Tamandua tetradactyla: one gene and its partner. The protein of the gene in region 1 purifies or fractionates together with the protein of each later gene. This does not show direct contact. Links are inferred from orthologs where the notes say so. Each region holds a gene or a part of one and is shown in the gene's direction. Other genes may lie near its edges.

What was found.
Region 2: the proteins of TCOF1 (region 1) and ARRB2 purify together in Homo sapiens (affinity purification with western blotting; 4 studies listed by BioGRID and IntAct, with this or other methods). This does not show direct contact. The link is inferred for Tamandua tetradactyla from reciprocal best matches to the Homo sapiens genes TCOF1 and ARRB2.

What each region holds. Positions count from the first base shown.
Region 1 is NC_135346.1:31,142,030-31,153,876, forward strand, and holds the start of TCOF1 (treacle protein), read left to right. Parts: upstream 1-6,809; 5' UTR 6,810-6,866; coding exon 6,867-6,974; intron 6,975-9,370; coding exon 9,371-9,426; intron 9,427-11,614; coding exon 11,615-11,766; intron 11,767-11,847.
Region 2 is NC_135332.1:60,670,345-60,681,829, reverse strand, and holds the start of ARRB2 (beta-arrestin-2), read left to right. Parts: upstream 1-5,347; 5' UTR 5,348-5,358; coding exon of another isoform or gene 5,359-5,381; intron 5,382-5,618; 5' UTR 5,619-5,620; coding exon 5,621-5,673; intron 5,674-8,276; coding exon 8,277-8,307; intron 8,308-8,941; coding exon 8,942-9,002; intron 9,003-9,114; coding exon 9,115-9,159; intron 9,160-9,380; coding exon 9,381-9,577; intron 9,578-9,866; coding exon 9,867-9,926; intron 9,927-10,131; exon of another isoform or gene 10,132-10,318; coding exon 10,319-10,386; intron 10,387-10,531; coding exon 10,532-10,667; intron 10,668-10,875; coding exon 10,876-10,960; intron 10,961-11,233; coding exon 11,234-11,306; intron 11,307-11,485. UniProt on the Homo sapiens protein: Functions in regulating agonist-mediated G-protein coupled receptor (GPCR) signaling by mediating both receptor desensitization and resensitization processes.

The sequences.
Region 1 (11,847 bases):
GCCATGCCGGAGGACCCCGGTTCGATTCCCGGCCCCAGCCCATGTAAAAAACAAACAAACAAACAAAATATAATAAAATAAGAAAATGTTTAAAGATGTTTCCCTTTCTTCCTCCCTTCCTTCCTTCCATCCTTCCTTCCTTCTCTGTCTTTCTTTCTTTAAAAAAAAAAAAAAAAACATGGATGCAGGAGTCCCCCCCCCATCAGAATTGCCTGAGGTGGGGCCCGGGAATCTGTATTTCTATTGAAACCCCAGGTGATCCCGATGCAGGTGAGCCAGGTTTGGGACTCATTAGACGGTCATTCCAGGCGAGAAAACTCTATCCATCCCGCCTTATTTCTCCCCCCATGCCCAGTGCCTTCCTGCATCCTGGTTAATCATCACCCTAAATAGTTGATGCCAAGCAGGGTGCTGAGTGAGAATGAGGGAGCAGATGAGCTTCCAGAATGCGGCCCCTCTCAGCCACCCACTCCTTGGTAACCACAGGGAAGCTGAGAAAGAAGGCGGGGAGGCGGGCGCAAGCACTCGTACCCCTCCAAATGTGGAGGAGGGTCTGGGGTGGGGGGGACGCAGCCAATCTCCTGACTCCCTGCCTCCACCCCTAGCAAAGGCAGCATCACCTCAAATCACTGAATTCTAGAACATTAAAGGCAGACTGATGGTTTCCCCACAGCAGCCATTCACGGCTGTCTTACCACCTGTACTTTTATTTAATTGGTGCTTTCTTTTACTTGACTCGCTGTTTTTTACTTGAAAGCCTTCTGTAGCCCCATCCTAAGCAATAATATCTGTGAAATAACAGGTTTGATGTGCTAGCTATTTTTTGTCTAATATACACTAAAATAAATACACAATGATTTCAGTCTTAAAATGTCCATCTATTCATCTCCTGAAATCACTTCGTGCATCACCAGAAAGAATGCCCCACACTTTCAGAAACAGTGAACTACTCCAGCCCTCCCATTTTACAGAAAAACTGAGGCCCAGGAAAGGGCAAGACTTGTCAGAAGTCAGACTGCTGGGGTTAAAGCCCATATTCTCATAGGCACCTGTACGGGAGAAGGAGGGGTGCACACCCAAGGACCTCTGGCAGGTCCAGGCCCCTTGGAGTCCTTGACCTTTTGAGAGCCCTTCCATTGGTCGTGCGCTGCCCTCTCCTGGCAGGTCCTTCTGTGATGCATGTCCACCTGGAAGGAGTTGCCGGAAGAGGGGGCCCTTATTGCAGATCAGAGATGACTCAGCTGGAGGCAATCAGGGAAGGCAGCCTTGAAGAGGCGGCATTTTCACTTGGCTTTGAAAGATGAATAGAAAACAATCAAACTTCAAAGAGGAAAAATGCAGTTCTGTTCAAATGGCACGAAAGGGAGTGAGATGTTCCCAGGACAGCGAGTACTCACATTTGGTTGCCAGTCCAGGAAACAGACTGGCTGCCCCAGGCCTTGAGGCTGATAACCATTTCACAGGCCTCCTAGGGTAGGGTGCGAGTTAAACTGGTGAGTGTTTTTTAGAGCCACTCATTTAAGCCTTCTGTAAATGTGAGTTGCTACTATTACTCAAAAGGGTGTCTAAAGAAATGTTCTGATACGTAATAAAACATAAAAAAGTGACTTGCAGAGTTGTATGTTTTGGATGAACTCTCTTTTGTTAAAAAAAAAAAGAAGGGAGAGAGAGAAGAAGAAATGAAAAGGGTAAGGGCAGGGAAGGACTAAACCCTTGTGGGGGCAGAGGGCCAAGGATGTGGGGAGTCTAACAGCAGGCAGCTGAAATAGGATGAGGAGGGGCCCAGGTGGGGTTGGGAGGACTGGGAATGGACAAGAGGGAGGGAAAGATGACCGGCTTTGTCTATGAATCTCTGCATTGTTTAATTTGTTATTTCAGGTGCGTATACTTGTGTACACTTTTAAAAATTCCGGTGAGATTGAGGAATGAAAAAAGAGAGATACTATCATCCCATGAGAGGAAAGAAAGCCGTGGGAAGCCTATTGACCAAAGTGACTCAGCCAAGAGAAAACAGGCTCTTACACCAGATACAGTGGACTATCTTTGAGTCCTGGGGGCAAGGGCAGTCTTCCCACACGAGACCCTCTCTTGAGTGTCCCAATGCTGGAGGGGTCCTTGACTGACCCCTTCCTTTGACAGTAGGAAATGCTAAGATGAGCAAGAGCCAGAGACTGACCCAAGGCCACCCAGCAGAACCAGGCCCAATGCACTTTCCCAGATCCCGGCCTAGTGGTCTCTCCCCCATGGAACACCATCTCCTACTTCCGGGCAGGATACATCCCTGCTGGAAGGAGAAGAGGACAATGCCCCACTTGTTTAGCTCCCTTTCCCTTCTGCCAGCCTTCCTGCACTAACGTTTCCCTCACTGGGCCCTGCACGGGAATGCAGGATGACTGAGGCACGCTGCTTGCCCGTGAGGTGCTCACAGTCAAGTGGTCTGGAAGTTTCTGGCTTGTATGGCTAACAAAGACTTCTTTTCCTAAATGCAAGAGAAATGCTCTGAGGCTTTTTTTTTTTTAATGTACTGTTTTGTTTGCTGTTGTCTTAATTGTTGCCATGTTATATTTTATCAGTTTAATGTTTTAATTTTGTGCTTGGGCCCCGAGGCAATTCAGTGAAGGGTATGATTTGGAAAATCAAGGAGATAAAGAAATTGTCCGCATAAGATGCAGCCTCCCAGGAGCCGGGGACAAAGCGTAAGTGCTGAGAACGAATTTTATTAGGAAGAAAACAAAAGCAAACAACCTGTTACCAGACAGAAGGTAATAGACCATCCCGTTTTTCATTTTTTTTTGCTTTTGCTTTTGCTTTTAAATTAATACCAGTTCTCCATTTCTACCAAGGTCAGCCAAGGACACATGACCCAGTTCCTTCTCCTTTTCCAGAGGCCTTCCATGGTCCTGCTTCCAGGGCTATGCTCACAGTGAGTGCCCTGCCTGTTCTGTCCCCCTCTCTTCTGTCTATCACAGTCCAGTCATTCATGCAGCCAATATTTACTGAGCAATTTCTGCGTGCAGGCACTGTGCTAGGGGCTGGAGATAATGCAGCCAACAAGACAGCCATGAGTCTGCCTTCAGGGAGCTTACATTCTACTAAGGCAGGCATTCTCAACGGGGAGGTAAAAACTGGTTCTTGGGGGGGTGTGTGAAAAAAAACCTTAGCTATTACAATAGTTTGTATGCTCTATGACCCCCTTTACCATCTCTGTGAGTAGCTCGTCCAGCCACCCAAGCAGAAAGCTGGGTGTCATCACTAATTCAAGCTACAAGCTGTCTCTGTTCTCCTGAACCAGATTTCCGGTTCTGTACCTCCTAGGGGTTCCTCGGAGGCCTTCATGGTGTCCCTGAAAATTGACCCATCTGCCTTCATTTCACTTCCTACCCAGACTAGATTCCAGAACCCAGCGATTTGGCATTTCTTTTAGTATCTCTCTAGAGCCCTATGTCTCTCTCCCCACCCATCAGGGCCTGGATAAACCCCACTGAGTTCCTTCCACCTGCCTGTGTCTGGGCAGCTGCGCCCTGCTGGAGAAAATGGCTCAGCAGGACAGGACAAGCACACATAAATTAATGACCACCACTCTCAACTGGGTTGTCAACACTCTCAGGGACTTTTGTGTGCAAGCTTCTCCTCAACTATCTGAATGATCATTCTTCTTCCTTCAAACTCCTCACCACCTCTTCTTCATTCTCAGCAGAAGACCTTGCCTCCCACTTTGCAGAAAAAAATAGATGCTCAAGATGAAATCTCCCTTAGCATCCCACCACAAACCTACATCTACATCTGCACCCATCCTCTCTTTGTTCCCTCTTTTGGTTCTAGAGAATACATCCCTCCTCCTCTCCGATCCAGCCCCTCCACCTACACGCCTGATTCCATCCCCTGTTACTTGCTCATGAACATTATATTTGATGATTATTTCCTCTATTCCTTACAGTCCTAATTAATCCCTCCCCCCTTGATCTTCTATCAGCCTTTAAACAAACTCGTCTTAAAGCACAATGTCCCCTCCCCCAACACACACATTGACCATAACACCTTGCTCTCACTTCTATTCACACAAAACTTCCCAAAAGACCCGCTGTCTCTCTCACCTCTCCTTCACCCATCAGACTGGCCACTGCCATGTGACTCTATCCAATCACTCTAGAAATCTCATTCCCTGATGTCACCAACAATCTCCATGCTCGACATTAAAATGAGACCCTTTTTCATGCTTATCCTGTTTGCCCTCTCTGAGCAGTCTCACTGTTGTCTCGTCCCACTTTTCTGAAACTCTTTCCTCCTCTTCCTTCTATAAGCCCACTCTCCTGGGTTTTCTCCCACTTCTCTAGCTGCTCCTTTTCTATCTTTGCAGGCATAACTTCCTTTTCACTGCCCTGCACGTTGCCTCAAAGCTCCATCCTGGACCACCTTCTCTCCTCTCTCTATGTTCTTCAACTTGGGCCATCTTGTCCTCATCCACAGACTCAATTATCATCTCTCTGTTGACAATTTCTCATATTCATATCTAGTCCAGATCTCTATGCTGAGTCCAAACTCATGTTTCCAAGTGCCTAATCAACATCTGCACTTGGTATCTCAAAGGCATTTCAAGCTCAACATGTCTAAAGTAGAACTTAACTTCTCACCTCCATCTCTACTACCTCCCCTCCTCATTCAACCCTCCCACTACAAGCCCCTTCCATTTTTCCTATATTAGTGAAAGTTACAGTCCACGTATTTGCACAGACAACACAGAGTCCATCCTAACATCACCTTTCCCTCACTCTCCCATTCCAGCCCATCTCTATGATTATTTTATTTCTTGAATAACTCCAGGAATCTTCTATCATCCTCTAACTCCACTACCACTCCCCTACTGCAGCCACTATTATACACTCCCCCTGGATGCCTGACTGTAACCCTAACCCCAACAGGTCTCACATCTACTCACACACCCACTACTCCCCTCTCCATGGACATTCACACTGGTCACATTAAAACTCAAATTCCATCCTAACCTTCTTTGGCTTATACCATCAATGGCCTCCAATAGCTGTTTGGATGAAGAGAAACATCCTTGATGTGGAATCTGTCCTCTGCCACCTTCTGCATTCCGCAAGCCCTGTGCTTTCCCTCTGGGTCCTTTTCCAAAGGCTTACCTTTCATTCTCTCTCAGCAGTACTTTTTGCCTCAGGCCCTTTGCACAGGTTCTTCCCTCTGTCCGAGATTCTTCTCCCACTTCCCCTATCCTCTAGACATAGTACAGATTTCTTCACTAATATCATGTCCTCAGGGTATGCTTCTCTAACCCCCAAGCATTCTTGTTGAATGCTTTCACAATAATAACACATACATACACAGCACTTTTTTTGTTGTTGTTAGGAACTCTTCTAAGCATTTCTGCTTAGAACTCATTTACTCCTCACAAGTCAACAGCGTATCTGACTGATTATTTGTTTAGTGTGTGTCTCCCCCATTAACCTGTAAGCTCTATAGGCATAGAGAACTTTTTTATCCACAATAGTAGGGGGTCCACAAAAATTTGCTAACTGATTGACTGTAGATTAGTTTCCTCCCTATTCCTTACATACCACATCCAATCAACCATCTTGTCCTGTCCGTGTTTCTTCCTGAAGCAGAGGTTCCTAATCCTAGAAGACATAGGTATGTGCCTATTTGAGTGCTGAAATAGGTGGAAAATGTCATGTATCTGTACAGATTCAAAATTTTCTAGAGCAAGGGCTGGGTAGTTCACGCTTCCATAGAATTCTCAACGGGACCCATGAGATTAAGAACAAATGACTTAACCCCAGGCTAGCTCATCCTTCCCCTGCCAAACTCCCTTGAACTATAGCAGTGTCACATGTTGTTTTATACCTCACAAATCCATCCTCCATGCTTTGTTCAGAGCGATATTTTTTAAAAAACAAACCATGTCACTCTCCTGCATAAAACTAGCCAAACAAGGGTCCATTGTCCTTGGAGCAGCGTTCTGCCTCTACATGGGGACCTTACGGACCTTTCTCGAGCCTTACGTGTCCTCACTCTGTCCTTCTTCCCCCCAGTACAGGCCAGCAGCATAACAATGTTTCCCCAGTCTACACCAGGATTGTAGGCACTCATGTGATGCCTTCAGTGTGGGGTGTCAGATCTCTCCTCTGCATTTATAAATCTGTGTTCTATCTTTAATCTGTGTCTCTTTAGGGTTAAGCGCCCCTCCTCCCTACTCCCATACGCTGCATACAAAAGGAATTTAACTATAGTTGTTTGGATATCGACTGCTTGTCTCTCCCTTGTGAGCGTTCAGGGCAGCCGCTACTTCTTACTCGTCATTTTATCCCCCCTGCTGAACCCGGTGCTAACCCAAGTTACCTTGTTCAATTTGTTCAATCAGTGAATGAATGAACTAATGACAAGTAGTGCTTAGTTCAAAAGTCCTGAAAAATGCGTAAAATGAATAAAGGCATGGACAACAGGAAGTTCGGCTCTAGGAGGAAATGCCTACTAGTCGAACTCAGAGATGACTAAACCTCGATCACAGCGTTCGGAAAACAGAAGACAAGTTCTTTCAAGTAGCGACTCAAAGGGATTCCGCGGCGGGAGACACTCATAGGATGGCCGTGCAGGAGGCGGGGCTAGTTCAATCCCCGCCCTCCCCTCCTATGGGAGGTCTTATTGCCCTCTGAGTCTCCGCCCCCTTCACCCGCTGGGGTGGGGACAGCCACGCAAAGTTAAAAAGACTACATTTCCCGGCGCGCCAAGGGACCCGGACGAAGGAGGGGCCGGAAGTGGGACGCGCGAGGTCTAAGGGCACGAGGGAAGTGGCGGGCGGGGACTTGGGGGGGGCGTGCAGGTGAGCCGACTGGCCGGGGGTCGTGGGCATGGCCGAAGCCAGAAAGCGGCGGGAGCTGCTTCCCTTGATCTACCAGCATCTGCTGCACGCGGGCTATGTGCGCGCGGCGCGGGAAGTGAAGGAGCAGAGTGGGCAGGTGAGCGTGCGAGGGCCGCGTGCTAGATCCGGAGAGCAGCGGCCCACACCCCCTCCCCGGACTGCCGGGCGGGCCCCAGGAGCTGGATTCCGCCGGGCTCGAGGTGGTGGGCCGGGGCGCCGAAGGAGCCGCAGCCTCTGCCTATCCTGTGGTTCCCAATCCCTCTGGGCCTTAGTTTCCCCATCATTGTAGTGGGCGGGCCAAGACATGTGATAGGATTCCCTGGGCTTTTGTAATTCCCGCGCCCCTCACCTCCACCCCCTTCCTGGGAGCGGCAGTTTAAAGTTTCTTTAGTCTGCCCCTCACCTCCACCCCCTTCCTGGGAGCGGCAGTTTAAAGTTTCTTTAGTCTCTGGCCACGTGGTTCGGCGCTTCCCACCCCCACCCCACCCCACCCCACCCCCGCCCCGGGCCGAGTAGGTTGTGATGGGTCTGAGGGGCGACCAGCCTCCGGAGGAGCCAAGAAGGAGCCCTCGGCCTTTTACTGAATTGAAACTCAAGCCCCTAGCGATTCTTCTTTACTGAATTGGACAGCTTTGAGGTTAGAACTCGTGGGGGAGTCATTTCTTACATCATTCATTCATTTAATAACTGTTAATCTGGCTTCATGTTGCTGATGATAGAATGGTGAGGACGGCTCCCAGCCCACCTGGAGCTTGCAGTCTAGTAGGGAATACATAAACCAAAGTATTAAAAGTCTCTATAAATGTACTACATTAAGTGCTAAGAAGGAGAGCCATAGGGTGCTAAGATATGGTATGGCAAATTGTCCAAGTCACAAGGACTATCTGAAATTTGCTTCCATGAGGAAGTGACTGTCAAGATCCGAAGGAAGGGATGTGGATATTCTAGGAAGAGATGCAAATGCCCTGTGGTAGGAGGGAGCTTGTTTTGTAAGCACTGGTCTCCAGAAAATCCTCTGTGGCTGGGGATGAGGGCAATAGAGGTCCCTGTAGGGACAGGAAAGGGAGCAACGAGTTGGCATGAGTGGGTCCTGTGGTTACTTTCGTCCTTACCTAAGAGTAGTGGGAGGCAGTTGGAGGATTTTAAACTGGTGAGTGGTGGGAGTTAGGCAGGTTCCCTTTTGCTGAGGTGTAGAACTGATCCTAATGCTTGCTCTCAGGTCCTCCCGAACTGTCAAAGAGTGATGGGTCCTGGGGATGTTATTGATGTTTTTTCCAACCTTCCCTGAGCCATGGCTATGCCTCTGACTCCTGTTAGATCACTTAATAGCTAGGATGCAAGTCACCAGTGTCTATCTTCATTGGGGTATATACCCAGGCAAAAGTGTCCTGCCCTCATAGAAGGTACGTTCTATTAGATTGCACATGGTGTGTCAGGTGATGGTACATGCTAGCTATAAAAATAAAGCAGGCAAGGGAGATAAAGAATGTCAGGGGTACGACTGCAAATAAAGTAATCAGGGAAGCCAAACTGAGAAGGTGACCTTTGGGCAGAGACCTAAAGGAAATGAGGATGTACGTGACGCAGCTAGCAGTGACGAGAGCATGCTAGACAGAAGCAACAGCAAGATGCCAGTGGGAATGGGAGGTGGGGAAATTGGGGCAATGAGGAGGCCAGTGTGCCTGGGACAGAACAGAGTGAGGCTGACACTTGGTGTTCCCTGTGTTATGGAAGGAACCTGAAGTTTGAGGTGTAGAGATTAGCCCAGGGATACTCAGGGATTCCACCTCAAACCCAGCTCTGCCTGACTCCAGATGCTGACTCCAGATGCTGACTCCAGCTCTGCCTGACTCCCTTTTGGGGCCATTCTGCCCAGGTCTGTGAACCTCTGTCCTCCTCCCACATTGTTCACTCAGACTCCTTGGGGCTGAAACCCCAGGTTCTTGATATTAGCAGAGAGCATAGGGCCACTGGCCTTGGCACTGAAGGCTTGGATTCCACCCGGTTTCTTCCCCTACCACCAAGGCACTGACAACATTTGGGCACAGCTTCTTCCCAGCAGACAAGTGGACTGTGGTTGTGCCTCCTAGATACCTTGGGTGTCTGGATTATGGTTCATACTGCCTGAGAGAGATTGACCTGCCAGGCCTTTGAAGGCCCTTTGAAAGGTCAAAGTAGAAAAAGCCTCATCTCCTGGCCTCTGAGATGGAGAGTGTCTGGGAGTTGGGTGAATGCTAACCTGGAACATTGCAAAATTCAAAGGTATCTCTTACCAACATTTGTCTTAGAAGGTTTTAGCTGAAATTGCTTGTCCTGTTTGTCTCTGGAAGGTTTTGAATGGTGCTGACAGGGCTAACCAGGTATGTTTCCCAAAGCAAAAAGACCCCCTTTTTAACCAGCTATCCTTGCCGGTCATGAGGTTGGGGAGAGTTGGGCCCAGAGCAGGAGCTTCCTGTGCTGGGGGGTTAATTGCTGCTCTCTTTTTCTCTGCAGAAAATTTTCCTGGCTCAGCCTGTTACCCTTCTGGACATCTATACACACTGGCAACAGTGAGTCTGATGGTGCTAAAAGGGTGGAGCAGGGACATCCCAAGAAATTGGCTTAGAATAAGCCAAGAAATTTATCTGGTCTAAGATGTGTCCCCATTTCCCACTGGAACACCGTAGCTACCTCCAGGAAGCCAGGTCACATGTCTGGATATTTCTAGGTATAGGAAGGGACATTGAAAGCTGTGATCTTGTAAAGACAAAAACTCAGCAGTTTGTCATTTGTTCAGTCAACATACATTTATTGAGCGCTTACTGAATGCCAGGTCCTCCTGTTCTAATTATAAAGATATTGTGCTGAATGTAACAGACCTGAATGGCATTGTAATCAGGGAGGTGAGCATGAGTCAGAAAATGAAACAAATAAATGTTAAATTACAGTGGTAGTAAGGGTTACAAAAGAGAAGTACCCGGTGCCCAAACTACATAAACAGGTTAGCCTGCCCTCGTTTGGGAGTCCAGGGGCAACTTCCCTGAGGTGACATGTGACTTGAGAGCTGAAAGAAGTAGAGTGAACTAGGCAATCGGTGTAAACAGGCAGGAGTGTGTGCTTAGAACTTCCAATCCCCGTGCCTGGGGGACATACAGATGAGGTTGAGGGGTTGACAGGGCCCGCCCCTGCAAAGCCTGGTCTTCATGTGAAAAGAAGTAAGCAGCAAGAACCCTGGAAGGGTGAAGCAGGTGATGAGATCAGCTCATCACTCTGCTGCAGTTTGGAGAGCCCAGTCGGGGGCTGTGGAGATCATCTCAGCAAGACCTGACAGGACTTGAGGCAGGGATGACAGGAGGTGGAGAGGGTGGACAGTAGATTCCAGGAATATTGGGAGTTGAAACCAAGATCTCTGGATAGATTGGGGAAGACTAGTTTTAGAAAGATAGGTTTCAACTTTTAAATATAAACATTTGATCATCATTGCTGTCCAAAAATGAGTTATGCTGCAGTAGGAGTGGTAAGCTCCCCTATCATCGGAGGTGTGTAAGCAATGGCATGAATGGTGTGGAGGGAATTTGGGCCTCCAGTGGGCATCAAAAAACCTGCCAGCCCTCAGGTTCTTGGCTCTCCTCTGCTGCTAAGTCAAGCTCAGAGCCCAGGGCATGTACTTCCTCTTCCTCAGCCTTTCAACTTTCTCAGGTGTTTGGGTGTTATTCATAGCACTTCCTTCCCCAGAGCACAGCTTCAGTGAGCTATACCATACACCTTTCTGTGCCACTAACCCTTTCTATGGGGGAGAAGTACTGAGTAGGCCCAGAATCGCGTACCCACCAGAGGCAGCCTAGCCTAGTGGTTCCTGACAAAGTTCAAACCCAGCAGCTAGCAGGATGGCCTTAGGCAAGTTTCATGGCCTCTCTGAGTCTGTGTCTTCAGCTGCAGAATGAAGGCAGTGTCCATCCCAGCCAGAAATCACCAGGCATAGACAGCGGCTCCCTTGGCTGCAGGGGGTAGGGGTGGGTATTCAAAGGAGATAATATTTGAAGGTTTAGAGGACTGAGTGATCTGGAGCCTTATCCCTCCGATGTCCCAAACTTATTCTTAACCCTGAGCAAGTCACTGAGTCATTCATTCTCTGAGACTTGTGCTAGGCACTGAGGATAGTATGGTGAGCCGGCAAAGTTTCCTGCCAACCCTCCTCCCTCCATCGCAGCCCAGCCTTTACTGTGGGAAGTCAGGCAGGAAGTAAATAAAAAAACCTGAGAGAGAGAAGTGCTCTGCAGAAAATGAAGCCAGGAGACAGGAGAGAACGACTTGGTAGAGAGTGAGTTCGCTGGGGAGCACCTTGCTGAGGCAGCGGCACTGGAGTTGAGATTTCCAGGAGAGAAGGGCCTGGGTCTTCCAGGAAGGGAGCCCACCCTGAGGAGCAAGTCCTGGAGGAGACAGGAGCCTATTGGTGTTGTAAAGTGTCCACATGGGCCCAGCACACGTGGCTCGGTGGCTGCTGGCTGCTGCTGCTGTTATATAACATTATCAACCATTCATGATTCTCTCGAAGACTAATAGAGGATTTCAAACCCACTTTATGAAATGAGTGAAAATACAGAATACAAAATTGTATCTACAGTGTTTTCATCACTGCTTAAACTCTCTGTGCTTGTTTCCTTTGAGGGTGGGAGGATGTGGGAAGGTCTTCCTTTTCAAATCCCCTGGAGTTATCATTTCACCCAGTTGGTACAATCAATCACCCTTGCCCTGCAGAACCTCAGAGATTGGCCGGAAGCGGAAGGCAGAAGATGATGCGGCACTGCAGGCCAAGAAGGCGCGTGTTTCGGACCCCATTAGCAGCTCGGAGAGCTCGGAAGAGGAGGAGGAGGAGGAGGCAGAAGCTGAAACCTCCAAAGCCAGGATAAGTAAGAGCCCTGTGTGCTGGGCACTGCTGGGACCTGGGCCTCCTGGTCAGGCCCCCTCACGTTGGGATTAGTGGGGGCTCA
Region 2 (11,485 bases), on another chromosome or scaffold:
CAGAATCCGAAAGATTTCCCTTAAACCAACAGAGCCTCACTACATATACGGTTTAGGAGTCAGTAATTTCTCTCTAAGGAACTGGCCCCCTTGTCTGGAATCACAGACATTACTAACCACACTTACAGCTACAAAAATGATACAATACACTCGTCTTGCAGAAACATTCAATCCATACAGAACGGCGTAAGAGAAGTCCCTCTCCTCCCAAATTCCTTCTCTTCTCCAGTAATGTGTATACTTTCCTAATATCATTCTGTGCACAAATACGTATGTACATAGTTTTACAAAGAGTGACATCTGCATTTGGGTTTCTTTACTCGATATGTATCGTGGGCCTCCACGTTGTTTTTTTTAACTCCATGTTACAATATGAAATGGGGACATCGCGATTTATTTAACAATTCCGCTATTGCTGAATTCTTGCGACAGCTCCAATTTTTCATTAACACATACAATGTAGTGAAGGTTCTAATGCCTCTATCTTGGTGTATCTTTGTGATTATAATATTCGAGTCTAAGAGTTCTGTTTATCTTCCCTTATTGTCTTGTATGACAGCACTTCTGCAGTCAAAATACATCCTATTAGGTTTTCATTTTTCTACATTTCTCCATATCTAGTACTACTCTAATCCAAGCCACCATTCTCCCTCTTACAGTAGCTTCTTCACAGCTCTTGGCCCTCTGTAGTCCCTTTTCTACACAGCAACCAGAGTGGTGTAAATAAATTCCGTGAAAGGGATCCTGCCTTCATTATTTTATTCCCATCACCTAGAACAATGCCTGGCACATAAAAGGTGCTCAATAAGTATTTGTTGAATGAATGAATGAATGTTAGGTAAGAGAGAACACCTATTTTTTATTTCGATAGAAACTCCCAAAATGTCCTCTAGCTATGTTGCAACTATGTAGGATAGTGCTCTGAACTTTATCCCCTTCCCAATGCTAATTATTTGTCTTTTTATTTCTTAATCAGAATGGTGAAAAATAATAACTCCTTCTTTTAACTTGTTTTCCCCAATTAGTGAAATGGAGTAACTTTTCATATGTTTAGTAGACATTTGTATTTATTTTGTATTAATTATCTTTGCATATTCTTTACCTACTTTCCCAATGGCTTGTCTTTATCATATAAATTTGTAGGTACTCTTTATACATGTGGGAAATTACTCTTGTCTGTTATATGGGTTGCAAGCGTTTTCTTCCAGTTTGTCTTTTTATTTTACTTATGCTGTTTTTAAATCTCTTAGACTCTTTGAAGTAAGGTGTTATGATTAAAGGCACAGACTCTGGACCTATACTGCTGGGTTCATACACCAGTTTTCTTCTTAGTAGTTGTGCAACCCAGCAAGTTACATAACTGCCTCCATTTCTTCCTCTGTAAAATGAGGATAAATATGGCCTCTTAATACATAGGGCTGTGAAATTAAATGAGTCAATATTCTTAAAGTGCTTGGAAAATATTTGGCACAGAGTAAATGCTATGAAGTCTTAACTATTATTATTTATAGTCCTGGAGTTTGATATTCTGGAAGGCCTGCCCCTACTCCCACAATTATAAAACTATTCCATGTAGTTTCTTATAATATTTTCATAGTTTTACTCTGTGCATTTAAAACTTAAATTCATTTGGAATTTATTTTATTTAAGATGTGAAATAGAGTTTTTTTTTTCCCAAATGGATAGTCAGTTGTCAACACTATTTAGTTAATATGCATCCTTTCTCTCACTGATTTGAAATGCTACTACATGGGTCTTTTTCTGGACTCTATATTCAGTTTCACTGTTCTATGGCACCAATAACACAGTTTTCATTATTGTAACTTACGAAAAATTATCTTTACTGGGAAGGCAAGTATCTACTTCACTCTTTGTTCACTCTTTATTTTTTAGAATTTCTCTAGCTATACTTGAAATTGGGTTCTTTTGATTACATTTAGAATCAACTTGTCAACACCCCCTCCCCCAGAGAATCCCATTGTTGTTCTGATTGATGGGGCATTAAATTTATAGACAATTTAGGAAGAAATGACATCGTTTTAACATTGATTTTTCCCACCCAGGATATATTACTACCTTTTTTTTTTTAACATGACAGCATACAAAAATGAACACTCTTACCATATGATCATTCCATTCTTGGTATATAATCAATAACTCACAATATCATCACATAGTTGTATATTCATCACCATGATCATTTCTTAGAACATTTGCATCAATTCAGAAATAGAAATAAAAAGAAAAAAGCTTATACATATCATACCCCTTACCCCTCCCTCTCATTGATTGCTAGTATTCCCATCTACCCAATATATTTTAGCCTTTGTTTCCCCTATTTTTTTCCTATACCTCTTATCACTCTCTTTCCCTGATCACTAGCATTTCAATCTACTAAATTTATTTTAACAGTTGTTCCCCCATTATATATTTATTTTTAATCCCTATGTTTTACTCATCTGTCCATAAGGTAGATAAAAGATCAGACACAAGGTTTTAACAATCACACAGTCACATTGTGAAAGCTAAAATCATTATATAATCATCTTCAAGAAACATGGCTACTGGAACACAGCTCTACATTTTCAGGCACTTCCCTCCAGCCTCTCCATTACACCTTAACTAACAAGGTGATATCTATATAATGCATAAGAATAACCTCCAGGACAACCTCTCAACTCTGTTTGAAATCTCTCAGCCATTGACACTTTATTTTGTCTTATTTCTCTCTTCCCCCTTTTGGTCTAGAAGGTTTTCTCAATCCCTTGGTGCTGAGTAGCAGCTCATTCTAGGATTTCTGTCCCACGTTGCCAGGAAGGTTTACACCCCTGGGATGTATGTCCCACGTAGAGAGGGGGATACATTACTATCTTTTAATATGGTAGCTTTCATGTCAAGCGCACCACTGCCTTTCTGTACCAGTGGTACTTCAGATATGTAGCAATACAGATCTCATAAACCCTTTGTCCATAACCTTTTGTCCAAAGTCAAATTTAGATCAAATTCATCCACAAGCCAAAAAAGCATAAAGCTTGAAAGAGGTTGTGGTGGTTTGAAGCCTAATGTATTCCAGAAAAATATATTCTTAAATTTAATCCATTCCTGTGGATGTAAACCCACTGTAAGTAAGACTTTTTGATGAGGTTACTTCAGTTAAGGTGTGACCCACCTCATTCAGGATGGATCTTAATCCTATTGCTGTAGTCTTTTATATAAGAATGAAATGCAGACCAAGATAGAGAAAGCCACAGAAGTAAGAAATTGACATCAACAAAACTAGGAAGAGAAGGGAAAGACCAGTAGAACTACCATGTGCCTTGCCATGTGGCAGAGAAGCCAAGGATCTCTGCAGCCAGTCTTCGCAAAGAAAGCATTTCCTTGATGATACCTTGATTTGGACATTTTGGTGGCCTCAAACTGTAAGCTAATAAATTCCCATTGTAAGCCAACTCATTTCATGGTATTTGCTTGAGCAGTATAGGAAACTAAAACAGGGATGAAGAACAAGCTTAGAAGGTGGTGAGGAAATTGGGTGATGGGTGGTGGAGGGAAATATTGGTGGCAAAGCCTGTGTTTGAACTTTAAAGATCAGAAATTGTCGGGTCACACACATTACTTTTTTGGTTGCATGGAGAAGAAGAGGGAGACGTGTGGAAGTAGTTTGTTTAGGTGTACAGGGGAGTATAAGACAAGAGATAGAAGAAGGAGAAATACCTTCCCTACATAAGTCCAGAAATTCCAGTCATCCATCATCCTTTCCCAAGTCCAAGTCCAGTCAATTTTACCCCAGAAATGACTCTTCAGTCTGGTCCCTCTTCTCCCCTCCCATTGTAAGACTTCATCATCTCCCTTGACTAATTTACATACAGCTAAACTCCTTTACCTTGTCCCAGTCTTGCCCCATTACCTCCACCTTCCACATTGCCCAGATCTGTCTTCCTAAAGAAATTTCATCATGCCATACCCTTGCTTTAAAAAGCCGCAACTCATTAAATTGTTCTAAGAAATGATCATGGTGATGAATATACAACTGTGATGATATTGTGAGCCATTGATTGCACACCAAGTATGGAATGTTTATATGTTAAGAATGTTCGTGTTTGTATGTTGTTTGGTTTTCTCAATAAAAGTTAAAAAAAAGAAAAGAAAAAAGCCACCACTGGTGTCCTGAAAGAACAGCTTTAGCCTCATTCCTTTGCTGGCTATACAAAATCCTCCACAGCCTGTTCCCGTGCTCCTCTCCAACCCCATCTCTCCTGCCCTCTACCCCACAAACACTTCAAAACAGGAAGTATCTTTTGTCCTCCCCCCTTCCTTTTGGAATACCTTTTCCCAGCTTCTGCCCATCCTTCAAGATTGTCCTCAAATGTCCCCTCCTCTGGACAGCCCACTCAACCCCTCCCAAGAACACTTTGTCTTCTGAGTCATACCTCTATTATAGTATTCTTGGTCTCTTAATACCTATTTATGTCTCCCTCGACCCTTCGGAAGGCAGGGACCATGTTAATTCATTAATTCACGTCTGTGTCCCTATCGCCTAGCGTAAGGACTGGCACAAAATAGGATGGATGGAAAGGAGGGTGGATCCAGGGTGGATGGAGGAGAAATTAGGAAAAAGAATTCTGCGAAGAGCAAAGATAGACACCAGGGGGAGCTGAGGCACCACAATAAAGCAGGATGAAGGGCCGAATAAGGCTGCTCACTCTGGGGTGAGCCGGTGAGCAGCGCGCAGAAAAGGAAATATCACGCAACTGCAATCGCTCACCCACGTGTGAATCCCCCTCATCCTCCTTCCCAGAATGTGCTTAGGCTCATCCCACCGCCCCCACCGCCCCCAACGCCCCCAACGCCTCCACCGCCACAGAGAAAGCAAACAAAGGGGAGGTGACCCCTGCAAGGTCCTGCATGCCGGAAGCCAATCAGAGTCCTCCATTCTCCTGGAAGGCGGGAACCTTTGATTAAGAGAACCCAATTAGCTTCTAAGGGAATGTAGCGGGGCGGGGAAATGGGCAGGAAGAGCCGCGGTAGGAACCGCGCACGCCGGGAGAGCTTCTTCGCGGGGCTGGAGGGCGGAGAGGGTGAGGGCGGAGAGGGTGAGGGCGGAGCCAATCACCGCGTGTTTGGGAGGGAAGGGCGGGCAGCGCCGCGGCGCGCGCGATCCGGGTTGACGCATCTGGCCCCGGTTCCCCAGGATCCGAGGGCGGGGGCGGGGAGGGCGGACCGGGAGGAGGGAGAGGAGAAAGAGCGGAGGACGCGCGTGCGCACTGGCGCGGGGAGGAGTAGGGACCTGGCTGCGGGCGAAGAGGCTGCGAGCGAGCGGCGAACCCGGCGGGGCGTCTGACGGCGGGCGCGCGCACCATGGGGGAGAAACCCGGGACCAGGTAGGGAGGTGGGGCCACGCCGCAGGGCATGGGCGGCGGCTCGCGGCTGGTGCTGGGATGGTCCCCAGACAAGGACACAGGGGAGAGAATCCGGGGGGCCGGACTCCTGGGTCCCTAGGGGGCAGCCATCCAGGGCCGCACACCTAGGTCCTCGCGGATAATGGGGGCGCATGCCCGGGCCCCTTTAGGAAGCGAGGGCTGAAGGGGACCAGGAAACCGGCGTCTGGGTTCTTGTAGGGATGTGGGGGCCGGACGCCTGGGTTCTCCGTGCAGGCTGCGATGCAAGGGCGGGGTAAGAGCAGGTGGCCCCAAAGGGATGTGTATGGAGTGGCTGGACGTCGGGATAGGAAGCCCCAAAACTAATGTCGAGCCAGTGGAAAGCCTCCCGTCCAGTATCCCATAAGCAGTTGTACTGCCCCCATCTGTCCCGAGGACTGGGTCGCTCCGCTTCCAAACTTCTGCCTTCCCCCAGGTTGCTAACAGTAACACCTTCATCTTGGGGAAAGAGAGTTCATGGCGACCCTCCCCGATTCTGGGCCCAACTCCTCCCACACTCTGGGTATCGGGCGGGGGTGGGAGAGGGTAGTATCTGCCCTGGGCATAACATCTACTCCCCGGATGTTTTCGGTGCAATCGAGGCTCCTTCCTTCCACTGACACCCCGAGTTCTCTTTTTTGGCTTCTAGCAAAATGCACTTCCTGTTGTGACCCAACACCCCTAAGGGGGAAAGGGGTAGATGCTTAGTCCCTGGGAAGCAGGAGCAAAGAGTAAAAGGTTGCAACCTTATGCCTCAACTCAGAGGGGATCAGGACCTGGTCCTGAGCTATCACTTCTGCAAAATGTTATATCAGCCCCAGCACGCCCCACCCAGGGAGTATGAGAACCCCAGTTTCTAAGCGCCAAGTCGCCCAGTATTGGAGAGGGAGGACTGGAGGACACCCCAGAGAAAGCGGAAGTCCCTGACTTGAAGGAGGCCCCCAATTTCCGTTGTGTAGTTCAGGGAGGGGGATAGATGGACTAAAGTAGGACTGCTGACTTGGCAGTTTCCCCCACCCCCATCAAATTCTAGGCCACACGAAGTGGAGAGAATGGCAGGAAGTGTGAGGGGGCATCTCTTGCCCCACCCCCACCCTCACTGAGCACCTCCCTGGTCACCCCCTCACCCCACCTCCTTGGCTAACCTCAGTTTACACACATGGTTTCTACCTAGCATGGCAGGAGGTAGCTGGATTAAGATCCAAATGGCAATTGCCCCAGAGCCACACTTCACTTGGCCAATTGACTGTGGCTGTTACAACCCTCTGCCAGGGTTCCTAATAGGAGGAAACATTGAGACAAAGAGGGAACTCAGAGGTAACTGAGGTCAAAGAGGTGGGAAAGCCTAGATGATACCATTGCAATCAGTTCCCAAGTCGGGGCAAGAAGTGGGATGCTTTATTCTCCTTGATTGATTAAGGGTACCAGGAGGCATCTGTACCCTTTACCTTATGGCCTTGGGACAGCTTGGCCTTCTGGGGAAGAAGGGGCAAATGATGTTACAACAGAAATTGGGGCAGTGGGAATGGAAAGGGATGGGCCAACTGGCAGGATTTCAGTTTCTACTCTCTGGAGGCTCTTTCCAGGGATCACTGGTAAAGGTGAGTGGATTGGGAGGAGTAAGGTGGTGCAGCAAAGAACAGGCCCACAAGTGACCAGAGCACTGGAGTCCCTAGACACTTCCCTACCTTCCCAGCAGGGGATGGAGTCAAGGCTCAGATTGCTTCAGCAACAGGAAAGCAAATCTCCTCCAATCCAACAAACTGTTGCTACCACTTACAGAAGCAGGAGAGTACAGTAGTTTGATTAAGAGCATCGACTCACAGCCAGACTATCTCTGTTTGTATCTGAGTTCCACCATTTACACTCTGAGACACCTTAGACAAAAAAAACACTAGGCCTATGTCTCGGGTTCCTCACCTGTAAAACGGGGATATTGGGACCTCCCTCACTGGCTTGTTAAGGGTATTAAATGAGATAACACACATGAAACCCTCGAACAGTACAAGCATGGAGCAGTCACCCCATGGGTATCATCTGGTAGCACCATCTTCACCACATTGTGTGGGGGGCGGGGGCGGGGGTACACTGAGTAAGGCCTTGATGAGCACAGTCTGTCTAAGGAGATAGTCGGATGACACAGCTGGCTACCGTTGGTGTGCCATCACTCCACAGTTCAGACATAAACAAGGTATAACAGAAACCCCAAAAGAAGTGATCTGGGGTCTGGGCTGGGTCTCCTTCCCAAAATTGGCATCTGAGCTGGATCTTGAAAGATGAATTGGCTTTTAAGGTGTTGAGATCAGAGATGGGGATCGCTGGAGGTTATTGGAGTTGGTCAGACTTGGGTAGTTCCTGTGATAGAAACCATTTTAGGGGTGAAAGCTAAAGCCATTGATCTTCCAAGTACTCCAGCTGTCTCTGAGGTTGGGACCTCTGTCCCTTCGCTAAGCAGGCATGGACCAGAGCAGATGGAAGATGGTTAGGCCATACACAGACACTGCTGCTACCTGCCCATCCAGGTCTCCTCTTTAGGTCCTCTGGGGTAGTTCCTGTGGCAACCAGAAGCCATTACCATTAGGGGAGGGAGGCTAGTGAGGGTGGGCCAAGGATAAAAGGGGGATTTGCCATGACAACCAGCTGCAAGTGGCTGCTGTGTTAGAAATATTAAGAAGCTCTGGTTGCCTTTCCTTCTGGGAAGAAGTGGGAGGGGGAAGGACTGGGCAAAGCCTCAAAGCATCCAGACAGGAATCCTGGGTAAGAGCTGCTTCTGGCTGGGGAGGTTTGAGGTCCTGGTGTGGGCAGGGGTCCCTGCTGAGTCTAAGGGAGGCAGTGGGGTTTCCCTTTCTGTTTTGTTAGGGTCTTCAAGAAGTCGAGCCCTAACTGCAAGGTGAGTCTCCCACAGCGTTTATCCCCTTAACACTCCCCAGGCCCTAACAAAGCCCAGCCTGCCCCTAGATGGTCCCCAACCCCTAGCTCCCCACTTCCTGTGACAGCTAAGAGCCAACTTCCTTCCCTCCTGAAGCCCCTTGCCACAGAGGCTGCTCAGCCTGAGCTTGCTGCAGGGGTGGGTGGGGAGAGGCCTGAGTCTCTAAGCAAGGCCAAAGGGGATGGGCCCAGAAGCCCCGTGCCTGCAGCCCTCTTAGGAGCCAACCCCGATACCTGGGGCTGGGAAAAGTTAACAGCTCCCAGGCTATGGTCTGTTTATCTCAGAGCCCCTTGAGGGGAGTGATTGAGGCCCATAGCTGCTCCTTAGGGCTGAGGCCTCCCCAAGGACCCAAACACACACCTGACTGGTGAGCAGAGGATTGAAAAGAGGATAGGGAACAGCTGAAAAGCCTAAAGAATGGGCAGTCTAGGAAACCTCACCACCCAGCCCTTCCAGCGCCGCTGGGAGTTAAAGAGGAGAAATTCCTTCCTAATATCCGAGCCAGGGAAGACCCAGGTCAGGGCAGTCACTTGAGGATTCTGAGACCCCGTCACCCTCCTACCCAACCTCCCCTATGACCCCTCTACACCTTTAGCTCACCGTGTACTTGGGCAAACGGGACTTTGTAGATCACCTGGACAAAGTGGATCCTGTAGGTAAGTTTTCCCAGAAAGTGACAGCTCCTTCCCCAGGAAGGGATGAAGTTCCTGGGCCCAGAAATGGGGGAGAGGCCCTGACAAGAAATGAACCCATGTGTCACTTCCTTAGATGGCGTGGTGCTGGTGGACCCTGACTACCTGAAGGACCGTAAAGGTACTGACCCCAAGTCCGAGGGCCCAAAGGGAGGTAGGAAGGCGGGGAGGTGAGATGGGCTGGCCTTGAGAGGGTGCCCCAGAGAGATGGAGGGCTGAGGTGGGAGTGAGGAGTAGGATTCAGGCAGAGGTTATGCTTTGAGGAAGGAGCAGCTGCTGCTAGGTCCAAGGGGAACTGGGGAAGGAGGCTCCTGACCACCCCACCTTGCCCTCCCTTACCAGTGTTTGTGACCCTCACCTGCGCCTTCCGCTATGGCCGTGAAGACCTGGATGTGCTGGGCTTGTCCTTCCGCAAAGACCTGTTCATCGCCACCTACCAGGCCTTCCCCCCGATGCCCAACCCACCCCGGCCCCCTACCCGCCTGCAGGAGCGGCTGCTGAGGAAGCTGGGACAGCATGCTCACCCCTTTTTTTTCACAGTGAGGATACCCCCACTTTCTGCAGGGCAAGCGATCTGGGACTTGTTTGGAGGGTGGGGCACCTGTCATGGGCAGTTCTGGATGAACAGTGAGGCAGGGACCCCAGGTCCACCTCCCTTCAAGGTCCCTGTACTCAGAAAGCCCTTGCCTTGTTGCCTCCTCCCTGGGTCCCCTTCCTTCTTCCTCTCTTATCTCCAGGAGGCCTTTATCCAGCCTCTTGAATTGAGATTGGGAGGAAGATTTGGGGACTTTCTGGAAGGACTGAAGCCTCCCCTTCCCTCTGCCACAGATACCCCAGAATCTGCCTTGCTCCGTCACACTGCAGCCAGGACCTGAGGACACAGGAAAGGTGAGAGAGGAACAGCTTTGGGGGTAGTAGGGCAGGGCATAGCTCGGCAGGAGCCTGGGAGCACACCTGAGAGGGAGGTGGCCCATGGGGAAACCAGGAGTAGGGAAGTATCCTGAGTGCAGGTTGGGTGTATGGTACAGTCACTGCCCACCTGTGACACTGCCCCCTGCTTTCTTGATCTGCATGTACCTGGAAACAGGCTCACCTTGCACTGCCAGGAACAAGCCTCTGCTAGGTTCCAGGCCTTGGGGAGGCAGAGGAAGAAGACTCACTTCCTACCTCCCCAGACCATGATGGGGCAAGAGTTCCTGCCCCAGGCGAGAGAGGAAGGAAGGGGTGTTGGTGGTGGCCAGCGGGCCTTGTGTAATGTGGTTCTTTCTCCCTTTCCCAAGGCCTGTGGGGTAGACTTTGAGATTCGAGCCTTCTGTGCCAAATCACTAGAAGAAAAAAGCCACAAAAGGTGAGGGAAGCAATCCCCTCTGTGATCTCTGTGAAGTAACCATTCCCTCCCACTTCCGTGAGCCTCAGGCCCCTGTGGGGGCAGGTATTTGGGGGTCTGGAAACTGACCACTCCCATCCCCCACCCACTCCCCTCATCCCCTCAGGAACTCTGTGCGACTGGTGATCCGAAAGGTGCAGTTTGCCCCAGAGAAACCCGGTCCCCAGCCTTCAGCTGAAACCACACGCCACTTCCTCATGTCCGACCGGTCCCTTCACCTCGAGGCTTCCCTGGACAAGGAGGTGGGGCATGAGAGGGTGACACAGGTGCCACACCGTGGGGGAAGGGGTGAAACCACACGTCAACAATGGCCTCTGGCTGGGTGTGGAGAGTCACCATAGGCTTGGAGTTAGAGGAGGAAGCAGAATAATGGATACACATTGGGGCAAATTAGTAATTGGACGCGTGAAAAAGAGACCAAATTAACTCACCCCTCCTCCTCCTCAAAAGCTGTACTACCATGGGGAGCCCCTTAATGTCAACGTCCACGTCACCAACAACTCCACCAAGACCATCAAGAAGATCAAAGTCTCTGGTAGGAGGTGGGGGTTGGGAGGGTCTCGGGGGAGGGAAATACTTAGAAGTGGCTTCTGGTGTGATCTCAGCCCAAAGACATACCCACCAGGGCTGAAGGAGTTTAGACTGTTCCAGAATGTTATAGGGGGCCCCCCAGAGTTTACTGCTACGGGGAGGGCTGTGTGTCAGAGGGATCGGGGTGGTGTTGGGTTGGGGCCCGGGACATGTGCTCTGGAACTGTGGTGGAGCAATAGTTTGCCACATCCAAAGCTGCTTCCCCCCCGTCACGCAGTGAGACAGTATGCTGACATCTGCCTCTTCAGCACCGCCCAGTACAAGTGCCCTGTGGCTCAGATTGAACAAGAGTGAGTATCAGAACAGATGTGGGTCCCGATCTTAGGGGAGAAGAATAGGGCCAGGAGAGTGTGAAGAGGGGGGTGGAATTCTTGCAAAACCATCTCCACTTAAAAGTGCTTTCCCTTCACAGTCAGGAAGCTTCTGAGCTGCTAATTTAATTTCCTTGAGCAGGATGAGCTAATAAAAC